Drosophila melanogaster: one gene and its partner. The protein of the gene in region 2 interacts with the protein of the main gene of each other region in a pairwise test. Each region holds a gene or a part of one and is shown on either strand. Other genes may lie near its edges.

Evidence for each region.
Region 1: the proteins of CG13319 (region 2) and CG11885 interact in a two-hybrid assay, tested with the Drosophila melanogaster proteins (2 studies listed by BioGRID).

Annotation. Positions count from the first base shown.
Region 1 is NT_033779.5:417,757-423,197, reverse strand, and holds CG11885 (uncharacterized protein), read left to right. Parts: upstream 1-1,747; 5' UTR 1,748-1,831; coding exon 1,832-2,257; 3' UTR 2,258-2,303; downstream 2,304-5,441. Other genes in the region: CG13692 (uncharacterized protein), read right to left, coding at 763-955, 1,010-1,398; RpLP1 (ribosomal protein LP1), read right to left, coding at 2,640-2,906, 3,052-3,123; CG13690 (uncharacterized protein), read left to right, coding at 3,598-4,641.
Region 2 is NT_033778.4:12,919,042-12,927,127, forward strand, and holds CG13319 (uncharacterized protein), read left to right. Parts: upstream 1-4,862; 5' UTR 4,863-4,907; coding exon 4,908-5,306; 3' UTR 5,307-5,310; intron 5,311-5,380; 3' UTR 5,381-5,623; downstream 5,624-8,086. Other genes in the region: NAT1, read left to right, coding at 1,067-1,818, 1,944-3,769, 3,838-4,016.

The sequences.
Region 1 (5,441 bases), on a different chromosome or scaffold from region 2:
TCTTCTGCTGCGCTTCGATCACTGGAATTTTAAAACCGGATGCGTGTCATTCCTCTGCCCCTCCAAGCCCGAAAATCCAGGGGCATCAGGAATGCGGCTGCTGCTTCCTGCGGTTCATCTCCCTCCTCCGCTCCTCTGGACTCCTCTGGGTTCGAATCTGGTCTTAGTTCTTGGCTCGTCTCCATGCCATCTAATTTTTCTATGCCCATAATTTGTACTTCCCGCCTACCTCTTTTGCACGGGACCTAATTTGTAGATTCCTCCGCTGCTGCGGTTGCTGGTATCGACTGACTGGCCTCTAGCAGGTATAGGTGTATACTCGCCATATGGAAAGGGTCTTCCGGTATAGTTTGAATTGGTTAGGTTCGGGGTACGAGGCGATTACCATGGATACCTGGTCGGCCAAAACATTAATTACTTTGCAGTGCGCCTGTTCCGGTCCCTGGGGAGTCACCCTGTTGGGACACCCTGACTATACCTCTCTGTAAATCTACCTAAATTTTTAATGTTAATTTGAGCTTAATATAACCAACTTGTTTCTTGGTTTGTCTTCCGGGATGCATCTGCATCTCCTCTGCTTTCTGCTTTTTGGGAAGTTTAGGTCTTAATCTAGATATTAACTTCTATCTGATAGATTAGGCAGTGTTCACGTTTAATTTTATTAACTAAAGCCACATAAAAATGCATCGGAATAGAGTTTAATATTTTCACTGGTGTATCATTAATGTGAGTGACACACTAATTTCTATGATATTTTATTATTTAGGGTCTCTGCAGCCAATCGTAGATGGGGTCTAAGCCCACTTTGGTGACGGCGCTGGCCTCCACGATGGTCACCTGCTGGCGGATCTGTTTTTGCAACTTCTGCATCTGCAGCATGAGCAGAGCCTCGTTTCGCATCTGGCGGTAGGAGTAATCCATTTTGGCCAGTACCAACAGGATCTTAGTATTATGCCTGCGACGAATTTAACTAGTGCATGAGCTTTCAGTTCATTTCCACCTTACTTACTGCAGACGCGGCTCGGTGAGGATTGAATAGAAAAGAACGCCGGCGGCTGAAATCTGACAGAGATTAGAGGTGTCCACGACGTAGATCAGCTTCTTGACATCCTCGAAATACTGCCTCCACAAGGGGGCCATACTCCCTCCAATTTCCAGGATCTGTATGGACTTGGGCAGATTTTTACCGCCATGAGGAATGTTAGCTGGAGCTTCTGAGGGAGGAGGCTTATTTTTATCCCCATTTGGCGATTTTGTTGGGAAATGGATTCGGTAAATCCCAGTGCCAATGGTGGGCATGGAAAACGTGGTCTCATCGATGGATTCCGGATCCTGTAAAGCTTTCAAAAGGTGCGTTTTGCCCGCTCTTTTGGGGCCCAAGCAAATGCAGGTGGACATTTTTGCTTTTACTTGGATTTTATTTATGGATCTAACAAAGGTAGCCTTGGTTACCAAAGTTTATTAATTAATTAATTAAATTAAAATTGTAAAAGTTAGTTCAGTAAGCACGTACATGTTGTTATTTCTGGCTTATTTTATATATAAAATATTTACAAATGGTTGAACATTTAATATCAATCGCGTAATCGAAATCTTGTGTCAGTAGTTCAATTATTTTCTGCATGATGGCGCTCTCAGGAAATCAGTGCAAACGTTTGAACTGCGTGCTTCGGGAGTCACGAAACTCGGAACCATTCGGCCACACTTCATATTAGCACATCAATGCATAATGACTATCGATAAAACATCGATGTATTTTTCATCGTTTTTTCATGCTGTCTCATCGTAAACAATATCAACATTGTTAAACGCTTTTAAATTCTCTCAAAAAATGAACCACACAGCAAACAAACCTCGACAAATCGGATTCGACAGGCAGTTCTCAGCGGACGTGAACGGCGTTCCCACGGAGATAGTGTTCCACTGCTTTGCCAAGAAGTGGTTCTTAGTCATAACGCAGCTCGGCAAGATTCCCGGCATCTACAACGTGCACTTCGATGTCAAAAAGGACGAAAGAGTGGTTCCCTATTTGCACGGACCCGTGGACAATCCGGAGTTCCACGTATCGGTGCCAATCACGATGAACTGCTGCTTGGGCTTGGACACCGACGAGACTCGCAGCGCCATACAGTTTCTGGTCAACAGAACCGGACTCCACAAGTGCCCGACGGAGTTCGTGGTGGGCTTGGGTCTCAAGAAAATCGACGGACCCAATCTTCGTGCCCTAGCTAAGGTCCTCGAGGAGACGTTATTCTAGTCTGCGTTCGTTATATCCAATAAATATTAGCTGTGACAGTTTTTGTAAAAAAAACCTTGAACATTTTAATCGTAGCCTTCAACCCGGCTGACCAAATTATTGGCCATTCTACTGCAACCTCTTTCATGTGCTTAAAAACCCAAAATAGAATCTACTCACAAAAAGGCAGTGGAATGACCAATAACATAGTAAACCATAATAATTCTGCACCGTTGTGAAAGGAATGAGTCTCGATAATTTTTTAGCAAACGTCTTCTATATTTCCTCACATTTGTACATTAAAAACGTGTACGCAGGTCGGGAAACGGGTACACGTCCACCTCTCGAGGATTACAGCACAAACACAACGGATGTCCGGTTGTCGAGAAGTTCTCTAGAGGATTTAGTCGAACAGACCGAAGCCCATGTCGTCGTCAGACTGGTCGGACTCCTCCTCCTTCTTCTTCTCCTCCTTCTTGGACTCGGCGGCTGGAGCAGCGGCGGCGGCAGCAGGGGCAGCACCACCGGCGGGAGCGGCACCAACTCCGGATCCGATGTTGGTGATCAGGTCCTTGACGTTGATGCCCTCCAGGGCCTTGGCGAAGAGACCGGGCCAGTAGGGCTCCACCTCGACGTTGGCGGCCTTCAGGATGGTGTTGATCTTCTCACCCTGGTGAATCCAAAAAATAAGATCAGCACAAGTTGCAGCAGTGCGAAAGAAACCATAGGACCCGCAAATTGTCCAATACTTCCGGCCGATGGCCGCGGCTTTGGAGGATTTGCTTCGTCCCCGATTGCAATATCGAAAAACTTACGGTGACGGCGACATCGTCATCGACGAGGATGAGGGAGGCGTAGACGCAGGCGAGCTCGGCTTTGGTGGACATGTCGAAGTGCTGTGGCTAATCACTGATTGTGCAAGTTGCCAAAAATTAATTGTTTATAACAAATGGCCTTAGCTCGGGACGAGAACAAGCACGCTGGTCAAAATCCTAAACCGGAAAGAGCAGTTGATATGCAGTGTGACCGCGCCGATGACGAAGAAAAATACCAACCGTCTATGAAAATTTGCATATTATTGTCAGGAAATACTAGGTAGAGGAAAACTCGTTCAAACTGCCGAGATTATCTCTTATTTAAACTAGTTTATTTTTAAGCATCTTGGACAGAAGCCTTAGCATAATTCTCTGGTTATATGTTTATCTCTCTATTTTAATAAAAGACCTTTCCGTACGGTTATTGAGAATATTAAAAAAAAGATATTTTGGTATAATGACGAATGAGTCACACTGCAACTTTATGTATACAATTAGTGTGCCCATAGCGTCGTTTAAACGTAAACAAAAAAAAAGCGCGCGAAAATGTCGGACCAAGAAGACGTAGTTGTAAAAAAAGAAAAAAAATGTATAGAAAATATTGATGAGAACGACGAAGAGCCCGATGATGTAGATTTTAAGGACAGCGGAAAAATAAGCTCCTTGAAGGCCCTGGGTCCATTTATAGCCGGCAAGGAGAATAGCCGCAACACGGTTTACCTCAGCGATGTTCCGGATATTTGCAAGGATAAGCCGTGCATGCTGGGCGTGGACGAAGCAGGGCGTGGTCCCGTCCTGGGACCTATGGTATATGGGATCTCCTACTGTCCACTGGAAAGTAACAAGGCTTTAGAGGACCTGGGATGCGCCGATTCCAAACAACTAACCGAGGGGAAACGTGATATCATATTTAACGATATCAACACCAAGGAATATGCGACCAGTTGCGTTGGCTGGGCCGTGGAGATCATATCGCCGAACACGATCAGCACCAGCATGTACCGGCGGTCGAAGTGCTCCCTGAACGAAGTTTCCATGGACTCGGCCATGGGCCTTATCCAACAGGCGATCGATGCGGGCGTCAATATAGCCGAGGTTTATGTGGATACGGTGGGTCCGCCGGAGAAGTACCAGGAGAAGTTGCTCAAACGTTTCCCCAGCTTTAAAATCACCGTGGCGAAAAAAGCTGACTCCACCTATCCAATAGTCTCTGCTGCTAGTATATGCGCCAAAGTTACCCGTGATCATGCCCTCAAGGTGTGGAGCTTCCCCGAGGGCTTGGTCATTAAGGACAACGAGTTCGGCAGTGGATATCCGGGAGATCCGGTCACAAGAAGATTTCTGACCGAGTACATCGATCTAGTGTTTGGATTTCCACGACTTGTGCGCTTCAGTTGGTCCACCGCGGAAAACGCACTGGCGGACAAGGCCTATGACATGGAGTTCGACGAGCCGGATTCCGAGAAGCCCAAGTACGCCGGCACCAAGCTCACAAAGTTCTTTAAGGGCACAACAAAATCCGGCGAAATAATTCGCGAGGAGTGCCGCTTCTTTAAGCAACGCCATCTGGAAAGTGTCATGGAGTTTTAGCAACAAATGAAAATAAAATTAAGTTCAGGAGTATCTATATTTACAAAGAATAAAGTTTAATTTAAGTACTTTAGTATTAAATTTTAAAATGCTAAAATACAAAAAACACCCAGGCCCAAAACGAAAACAGATTAATTTTTATCTTTAATGTATTTTTGCTGATGTTCTTGTGTTTCCGCCAATCTCGTGTTCTTAATAATTACGTTCGATTACTGACTACGTGGGACTGCAGTTACACTGTTCTGAATGTATGCGTGAATCGGTCTGATCTGATCTCTTGGCATCCCTTTTTTGGAGGACAACTGTGGAATTGGGTAAAGGACTTTTGGTGGGGAGGGCGGGGAGTTGGCTGGCATCTTTGATCGATACAATAACAAAATGCAAAGTTATACTAAACGATTTTCGTATAAAAAGGGACGACCTTAGAAACATGGAGCTTATGATTAAGATTAAAATGAGGCGAGTCGCATCCCGCTGATCTGAAGAGAACAACAACCATGTTGAAGCCCCCAAAAATCCCAGGTGCATATCGATATTTTGTGACTCGAAACTAAGCGTACGAAATAGACGTGGACAAAAGCGGGAGGATCTCATCTCAAGAGGTATACCTTAAAGAACTAATTAGAATTTAAAGCAATTACAAATACGATTGCAGGGCGGGATAGCTAAGAAAGGAGTTACCTAAGGTCCGGACTCCAGATCCAAATCGACTTATGTTGGTAGAATTGTAACTGATCATATTTCACTTCTTTAAAAAATATAGTTAAATGCAATTTTTGAATCAAAAGTAAAAACTTCTC
Region 2 (8,086 bases):
GGTGAGCCCAAGACCTCGACGATCTTACCAGGGTGACTCGTCGTCGTCGCGTTACTATCCAAAGAATAGTGACATTTTGGGTCAAGGCTTAGGCGGCAACTCCGACAGCTACAACGGCAGTTCCTCTTCTGGTAGATACCAGCAGCAGGATCAGCAAGGCGGATCGCATCGTGGTAGTCGCAGCAACTATCACTCAAACTCCGATGGCAGCTACAATCGATCAATAAACTCAAACTCCGTGGGAGGAGGAGGGTCTGGGGCAGTCGGCTCTGGAAGCGGTGGCAGCAATTATCGCTCCGCCCGCAACTACGAGAACGGCAATGGGAGCAACGGCACACAGCCACGTTACGGCAGCGGCAACGGGAACGGCAACAGCAGCAATTCCAACTCTTCATCCGGTTACAACGGATCTGCAGCAAGCTCAACCAACAGCAAGTCGTCGTATGGGGCTTCGCGCGGTGGCAACGATGGAGGCGTGAGTAGCGGATACAGCAGCAACTACCGCGACAACTACGAGGATTCACCATCGCACCAGCGCTACAACAACACCAACAGCCTAGAGCGAAACGGAGGAGGCGGATCAGGGGCAGGAGCGAGCGGAGGACCCCGCAGCTACGGCAGGTCTGACGCAGATCGTTACGGCGGAACCCCGTCCAGTCGCACACCCAATCTTCGCAACGGCAGTGCGTCTGCTCAGATCTCTGGCTCCACTTCCAATTCTTCGAACATTTCTCTGAACTCCGGATCAGCGTCGGCCGCAGGAGGAGGCACTCCTCATTCTCAACAGCAGCAGGAACGATCACAGGCTGGCAAGGCAAGCACACCGCCACCGATCACCGGACGCTGGATACCACCATCGTTGCGTCCACAGCATGGACTCACCCAAAGCGAAAAGAACGACGCCGTCTTCCGGCGTGTGAGGGGTATTTTGAACAAGCTAACGCCCGAGAAGTTCCAGGAACTGAGCGATGAACTGTTGAAGCTGGATCTTAACTCTATTGCTATTTTGAAAGGCGTGATTTTGCTGATATTCGACAAGGCCTTAGACGAGCCGAAGTACTCGTCTATGTATGCGCAGCTGTGCAAGCGACTTTCCGAGGAAGCCCCGTCATTCGACAAGGAACCAAGCAATTCGTCCACCTTCTTACGCCTGCTGATCGCGGTCTGCCGCGACAAGTTCAACAACCGACTCAAGCGCGACGAGAACGACAACAGACCTCCGCCTGAAAATGAGGCCGACGAGGAGGAGCGCCGCCATTTGGCCAAACAGCGCATGCTCGGCAACGTCAAATTCATCGGAGAGCTCAACAAGCTGGACATGCTGTCGAAGAACGTGCTGCATCAGTGCATCATGGAGCTATTTGACAAGAAGAAGAAGCGTACGGCCGGTACGCAGGAAATGTGCGAGGACATGGAATGCCTGGCTCAACTGCTCAAGACTTGCGGCAAGAATCTGGATTCAGAACAGGGCAAAGAGCTGATGAACCAGTACTTCGAGAAGCTTGAACGTCGGTCAAAATCATCTGAATATCCACCGCGGATACGTTTTATGCTAAAGGACGTAATTGAATTGCGCCAGAACAATTGGGTGCCGCGCAAATTGGGCACCACCGAAGGCCCCGTCCCCATAAAGCAAATACGCTCGGATGACGACTCAATCATACGCACTCCGTTCCCCAATCGCAATCGTGATATGCGCAACAATGATCGTGACTCGGACAGCTGGATGAATCGTTTCCATCTGAATATCCAGCCTGGCGGCTATAATGACATGTTTAGCGGACTGAGTGTTACGGGAGCTTCTCCGATTGTCTCGCCGTAAGTATTGTGAACGTCATGGGAGTAATGAACACACTTTTGTCTGGTCGGGTGTATAGTTTGAATAGTAGTCACATTATATTAAATTCTTTGAAAGTACAAAACCTAATTTTAAACAATTTCAGGTTCGCTACGAGCAATCGTGACCGAGACCGCGACAATCGCCAGTACAACAATCGAGGCGATCGCAACAGGGATCGCGATCAGGGCGGTAGCGGCGGAGCTAACTATGGCAATCGCTACAACAAGCACAACCAGAATGGAGGAGGCAGTGGCGGAGGATCCTCCAACAACCGGGACCGGGATGATTCGCGTAGGAATAACGATCGTGACAGGGATCGCAATGACGGACAGTATGGGGGCAATCAGCTGCTGGGTAGTAAGGAATTGGCACCGAGGTTCAAACGCAACTTGATCACCACGAACCAGGATGCGGTGGAGAACTTGCAAATGCGCCCGGCAGCCAACTCCTTGCTCTTCCGAGCGGCCTCCCAGAACCAAAAGTTTCCGGCTACGTTGCCCATGTCAACACCGCCCAATAGCAGCGGCAGCAACAACCAGGGCAGCTCGCAGGGCCAGCTCTCGAACTCCCACTACCCTATGCTCGGCACGCCCACATCCCATCTGATCAATCCAACGCGTCCCTCGTCAACACCATCTGCTGAGTATGCTGATAACCGAACTCTTTTGGGAGTTCAACAGGAGAGGGGATTGAAGGCCACCTCTTCTTCGCCGAACTTTTCATCAGGAGCGGAGAAGTTGGATTTAGACGGTCAGGCGGGCAGAAAGGGATCGCACGACGGCAAAGATCAGGGCAAGAATGGCTCCGTGGAGAGACCAAGCACTCCGGCCGGCGGTATTGGCTCGGCCAAGCAACAAAAGAAAGATAAGGGTCCCAACAAGGAGGAGCTGTCTAAGAAGGCCAGTCAGTACTTCAAGGATAGGTTCTACTACGATGAGGAGGAGGATGCAGAGGTGACGGAAATTGAGATCAAGGATATTGATGAGACAAAGACGGAGGAGGCCGACGCTGCTCCAGTTGAAGTCTCGGAGGTAAAGGAAGATGCTGCAATACCTGTGACCACTCCAGATCGCTTCACCAAGCTTGTAGATGGTTTCCTCGAGCTTAAGCTGCCAGAGAAGGCGCTGAAGGATGTGTGCATCAATCTGCTGATGGAGGTCTTGGACCGTGTAAACGATGTCTTCTTGGAGCGTGCTGTGCGCCTTCTGCAGACATTGCGCAAGCAATCCAATATCAAGCCGAACATCGTGGTCGAGATTTTCAAGCAGGTGGTCAACAAGATGAACGAGCGAGAGGCACTCAATCCCCGAATCGTTAGTCTTGTAGCCAGCTTGCTGGCAAAGACAATTTGCGAGCCAGCATTGCTGAAGTTAAGCGATATCGCCAACTTCACGGACAATGGCCAACACTATCCGCTGTTCCTGCTCGTGCTGCAGCAACTGGTCAAGGTCATCGGCAAGGATGCGCTGGAAGAGAAATTCCGGGCGAGCAAAGTTGATCTTATGAACAGCCTGCCGGAGGCGGATCGGAACAAGGAGCGCTTGGCCGGGATACTCGAGGATCGCAAGCTTTCTTTCCTTTATCCGCTATTGAAGGTACAGGCCGAGATGCTAAAACAGCTGCAAAGCGACCCGAACCCCAACAACTTCTACAAGTGGATCAAGGCCAACGTTGACAACAAATACTACAAGGACCCGGGCTTTATCCAAGCCCTAATGACCGTGGTGGTCAAGTATGTGACCAAGGAGACGACGCTGGCGGACAACCTCGACCCCAAGGAGCACCCTGAGAAATCGGTGACCCAGAAGGAGCAACAGCTGCTGGAGAACTACAGCCAGATGCTGCAGACCTTCCTGGGACAGAACGAGCTTCAGTTGATGGCTCTCTATGCTCTGCAAACGTTCTGCTACAATGAAAATTTCCCCAAGGGTAAGTGCTCAACATTTTAAATCTAATCTGTTTTATCGGCAACTTATATTTGCTTTTTTCTTCGTTAGGCATGCTGTGCCGTTGGTTCAAGTATCTTTACGAATCTGAAATTATAGAGGAGGAGGCATTCGTCCTGTGGAAGGAGGAGATTTCCGACAAATATCCAGGCAAAGGATCCGCTTTGTTCCAAGTGAACGCCTGGTTGACTTGGCTGCAGGAGGCCGAATCTGAGGACGATGAGGATTAGAAAGCAACGCAGTCCCGCATAATAACAGCGCTATATGTTTATCACTTCCAATATTTATTCACAAATCGATAATGATTACATGATGAAAAACAACAAAACTAACAAAACACGAAAAATAAGAAACAAAATACCATCAGGGTGGAAGTTTGAAATCGCGGTTGCAAAACTTAGTCAAATTATAGTAAAAAAGAAAAACAAAACAAAAAAAATTAATCAAAATTATTTGATATCCAACAAATTCAAAGAACATTAACAATCAATTATCAATAAATAAAGCGCAATAGACGTCAAATATAACCGATATTTATCCATACATCATAATTCTCATTGACATTTCAAGCATAACGAATAATTAGTGAATTTCATCTTTTTTTTTTAACATAACAACCGGAACTGATCTTTAAATCGAATAACGTTGATTTCAATTGCCTTTTTTTGGTACTCTCGACGATTTCCCTTTTGTGTATTTAAATAAGTAGGTCAAATCAAAGCGACAACATTAACATTATAGAAAAGGAAAAACCAATCGACGCGCGCCGAAGAGAGCAAAACAAAATCTGAATGTAATTGTGAACAAAATATCGTATATATGTATTTAACTCAACCAACGTAAACATTAAAAAACTCGCCCACATTAAATAGAGCCTTAATAAATGCAACCAACACTGCGAACGGCGAAATCAAACTGACTTTCATTGGCTTTTGAGGGAGTAATGCAAATTTAAAATCCGCGCCTAAGCTCTGTAATAGCTGCCTATCGATACAATTTTCGATTATTTTGAAAAGCTATCTATGGTCGTTTCGTTATCTGGCAACACCGCTCCGGTCAAACTTGCTATTTCATTGTTTTCCTTGTGAATATTGCTTGTTTATGTATAAAATTCACGACTAATGGATAGCGTTCCTGCGAATGTTGTGCCTGCGAAGGAGTCTGGTGGTTTCACCTCACATTGCGTCCACTTGGCGGCGGGTCCCTCGCAATTCACCGTGCGCGCCCTGAAAATGCAAGGCAGCACCATGCTGATCATAAACCCCAAGGGATTGGAGGTTTTCGAGGAGCTAGCGGTGGCCATGCCCTCTCGCAATCCCGCCAGCAGCCAGTCCCTATCCTCCACAATCCTGGGCGGACACGGGCAGACCGACTCATCTGTTCTGGCCGCCAAATTGAGTAAACGCTACTGCCGCCAGTTCTACGTGAGCCTTAATCTCAAACTGGATCGATTAATGGGCCCTCTGTTCGAGAAGACGCTAGTCACCTACATGCAAGACCATCTGGAGCACTTCGCTTGAGTGGGTACAACAACTTAGTGTGGCATAAATTTAATCCTCAATCGCTGACTTATTTCTGGTTCACGTGCACACAGGGCCCGCCTGCGCTACCGATGACACGGCGCCGCGTGGGGGTCAACGTCTATTTCGGGGACCGGCGGCTACCCCACGGACGCAGCTTCACGTACTCTACGCACTCCATCAGCTAACTATCTGGGATCTCCGATTCCCGATCTCCGCTCAGACGTCATGCGGCGGCCGAGTGAGCACGAACTTTAAACGTGTATCGGTGATACGAATTTTGTACAATAAATTTATTGCCCTAAGTAAGTTTACAGACGCATGTGGGCTTTATCAATTGTGTCGCGATAGCAGTGCTCAATGTAAGAAGAAGTCACCCGCTGTGTGAGTGATCGCGTGCCACCCGCATGCTATTCATGCTGCTGCTTCACCACCCAATGATTTGAAGGTCAGTTTGGCTGCAGTGATGATCGCTTGATAGGTGATTTCCCCGCCATCGTATTAAATTCGAATATACATATGTGTGTGTTCGCATTGCGCCGGTTTGTTCATCAGGCCTCCGTTTCGGTTTCCCTTTCGAATGAATGTTTAGGTTTAGGGAGAAGTTAATATGTAATAATCATTCGGAAGTTTTCCAAATGGGTACCATTTCAGTTTGATCACTGAATACCTCTGACAAATAATATCATTAGATTTGTTTTTATGTTGTTAATTTGAACTATTCGAAAAGTTAGTAGGATACCACTATCAAATGTATGTATTAACTAGCGGGTTTACAATTCACAATGTGATTAACAAGCTTCTAAATTTGTGTGAATAATACTGGTTGAAAATATTATATCTCTTGTTACAGTTCGTTTAGCTTTTGAAAAAATGATATTGGTGATGACTGACTATAGGAACTCTCAACTTTACTAATTACCCACGAGCAAAAAGTTGATGTCACTTCCTGCATGAGTTCCCAATTATAATGATTGCGATATCCAAAATATCCAAGTCACTATTCACTATTTCAGAATGGTTCTATGTCACAGAAAGTCTGCAACTTGAACAGTTTGATACTCAGGTATAGATAGTTGAAGGACCAACGCGACACCTTCATAATGCCCTTTATCTATCGGCATTCTCAGACTGAAAGTTGGCTATACTTCCTGCCCGCCAATCGTAAATATAAATCGGTTGATAAGACGTCTGAATTACCCCCGCCAAGAATGCCAGTCATATTTTTAATGGAACAGCCCCCAGCAGCGTTGTGCTATGGTTGTGTTGGATCACACCGCCTGGAGGTGCCATTGAAACTTTTCCGCTAAACAACCCAATGGGAGGGAGGGAGCAGCAACAAAATGAAAAACACTAATGTACGAAAAAAACAAATTTCGCCTCTCATAATAATGCCCAGTCTAGACGAGATATTGTCAGGCGTATCAGTGGTGGTAACAGCGACAAGAGCATATCGCTCCAAAAAAAAAATAGCAGCACCCATTGAACGGGTATAAAAATAGAGCTTCAGCCGGAAGGTCTGCGCTCCGGGGTCTGTGGGCTCCCACGAATGTCTGGAATGTTTTTTTCCCCCGTTTTTTTTTTTCTGCTTTTGGTTTCCCCAGTTGCCTAATAACTTTTCCTTTTTGGCCATATCAAAAGCTGTCTGGCGATAAGCGCCCTATAAATAATAGATCCGAGTCGGCCGAATTCGAGCAGCCATCTGTAATTATCGGGTCGGAATGTGAGTGCGAGTAGTTGTGGCTTCCATGCCTCGGTTGCATGTCCCTGGCTTGGATGACTGGCTGGCCCGGCTGGCGGTACATGGACTTTGGAAGTCTATCGTTGGCGGCAACAAAGTAATTAGCCTTCTGCGGGACTACCATAGTCATATCAGCGCCCCCAGTGGGTTCCCACTGCAGCGATAAGCCGGCTGGACTACGCGTGGAACCTTCTCCGCGGCGGCTGCTGCTGCTATTTCTGCTGCTGCTGCTGCTGCTGCAAATGTGCATCTTGGCTGATAAACCCCTAGGTTCAGGCGCACGCCCACCGGTCAAGCTGGAGCGCGGAACGGAACGAAACGGTTCGGATCGAATAGAATCGAATCGGAGATCCCAATCCGAATCTGCTGCGAGGGCTTATCGGACCACCAGACCACCTTTGCCAGCCATCCAGACCCCTCCGGTTATCGGTCGAGTGTTGTTAATTTGATAGAAATATTGAACATCATTGCGCCCGACGGACTGCACCCTGCCATTCCGGTTCGATCCGGATCGCCGCCGAGTGTCTATACGCCTAGTTTGGTGCCGATTTGTTATTATTTACGCCGAGATTCGGACCACGGAAAATTAATAAGCGCACACGCTCAGCTCCCCAACGGGAGCTCGCGCCATACAAAGTTCACACAGCCAGTCAGAAAATCCGGATTTTTTTTACTCATTTTCTGCGCGGCTTTAATTGCCGGCAAGCGGCAAAAAACATAAAAATTAGGTTGCGCCTGGGGTCCTTCATCGCCTGTCTTCGATTTGGGGAGGCGATACGGACCCAAGGCCGTGCTTTTGGAAGATTCCGCTGAACTGACCTCGCCATGCGCGACTGTACCTCGGCTCGATTGTCCGGCGGAGCAGTTGTGGTCCGATTATGCCCCCTATCTATTTATAAATCATGATTCGCCATCTGGTGGGGGAACTGGACTGGAGTGGAATGGGTACGGGTACGGGGATGGGAATGGGAATGGGAATGGGTACTGCGATGTGCAATTGGCAATGAGTCCGCTTCCACGACCACAACCACGTTCGCCT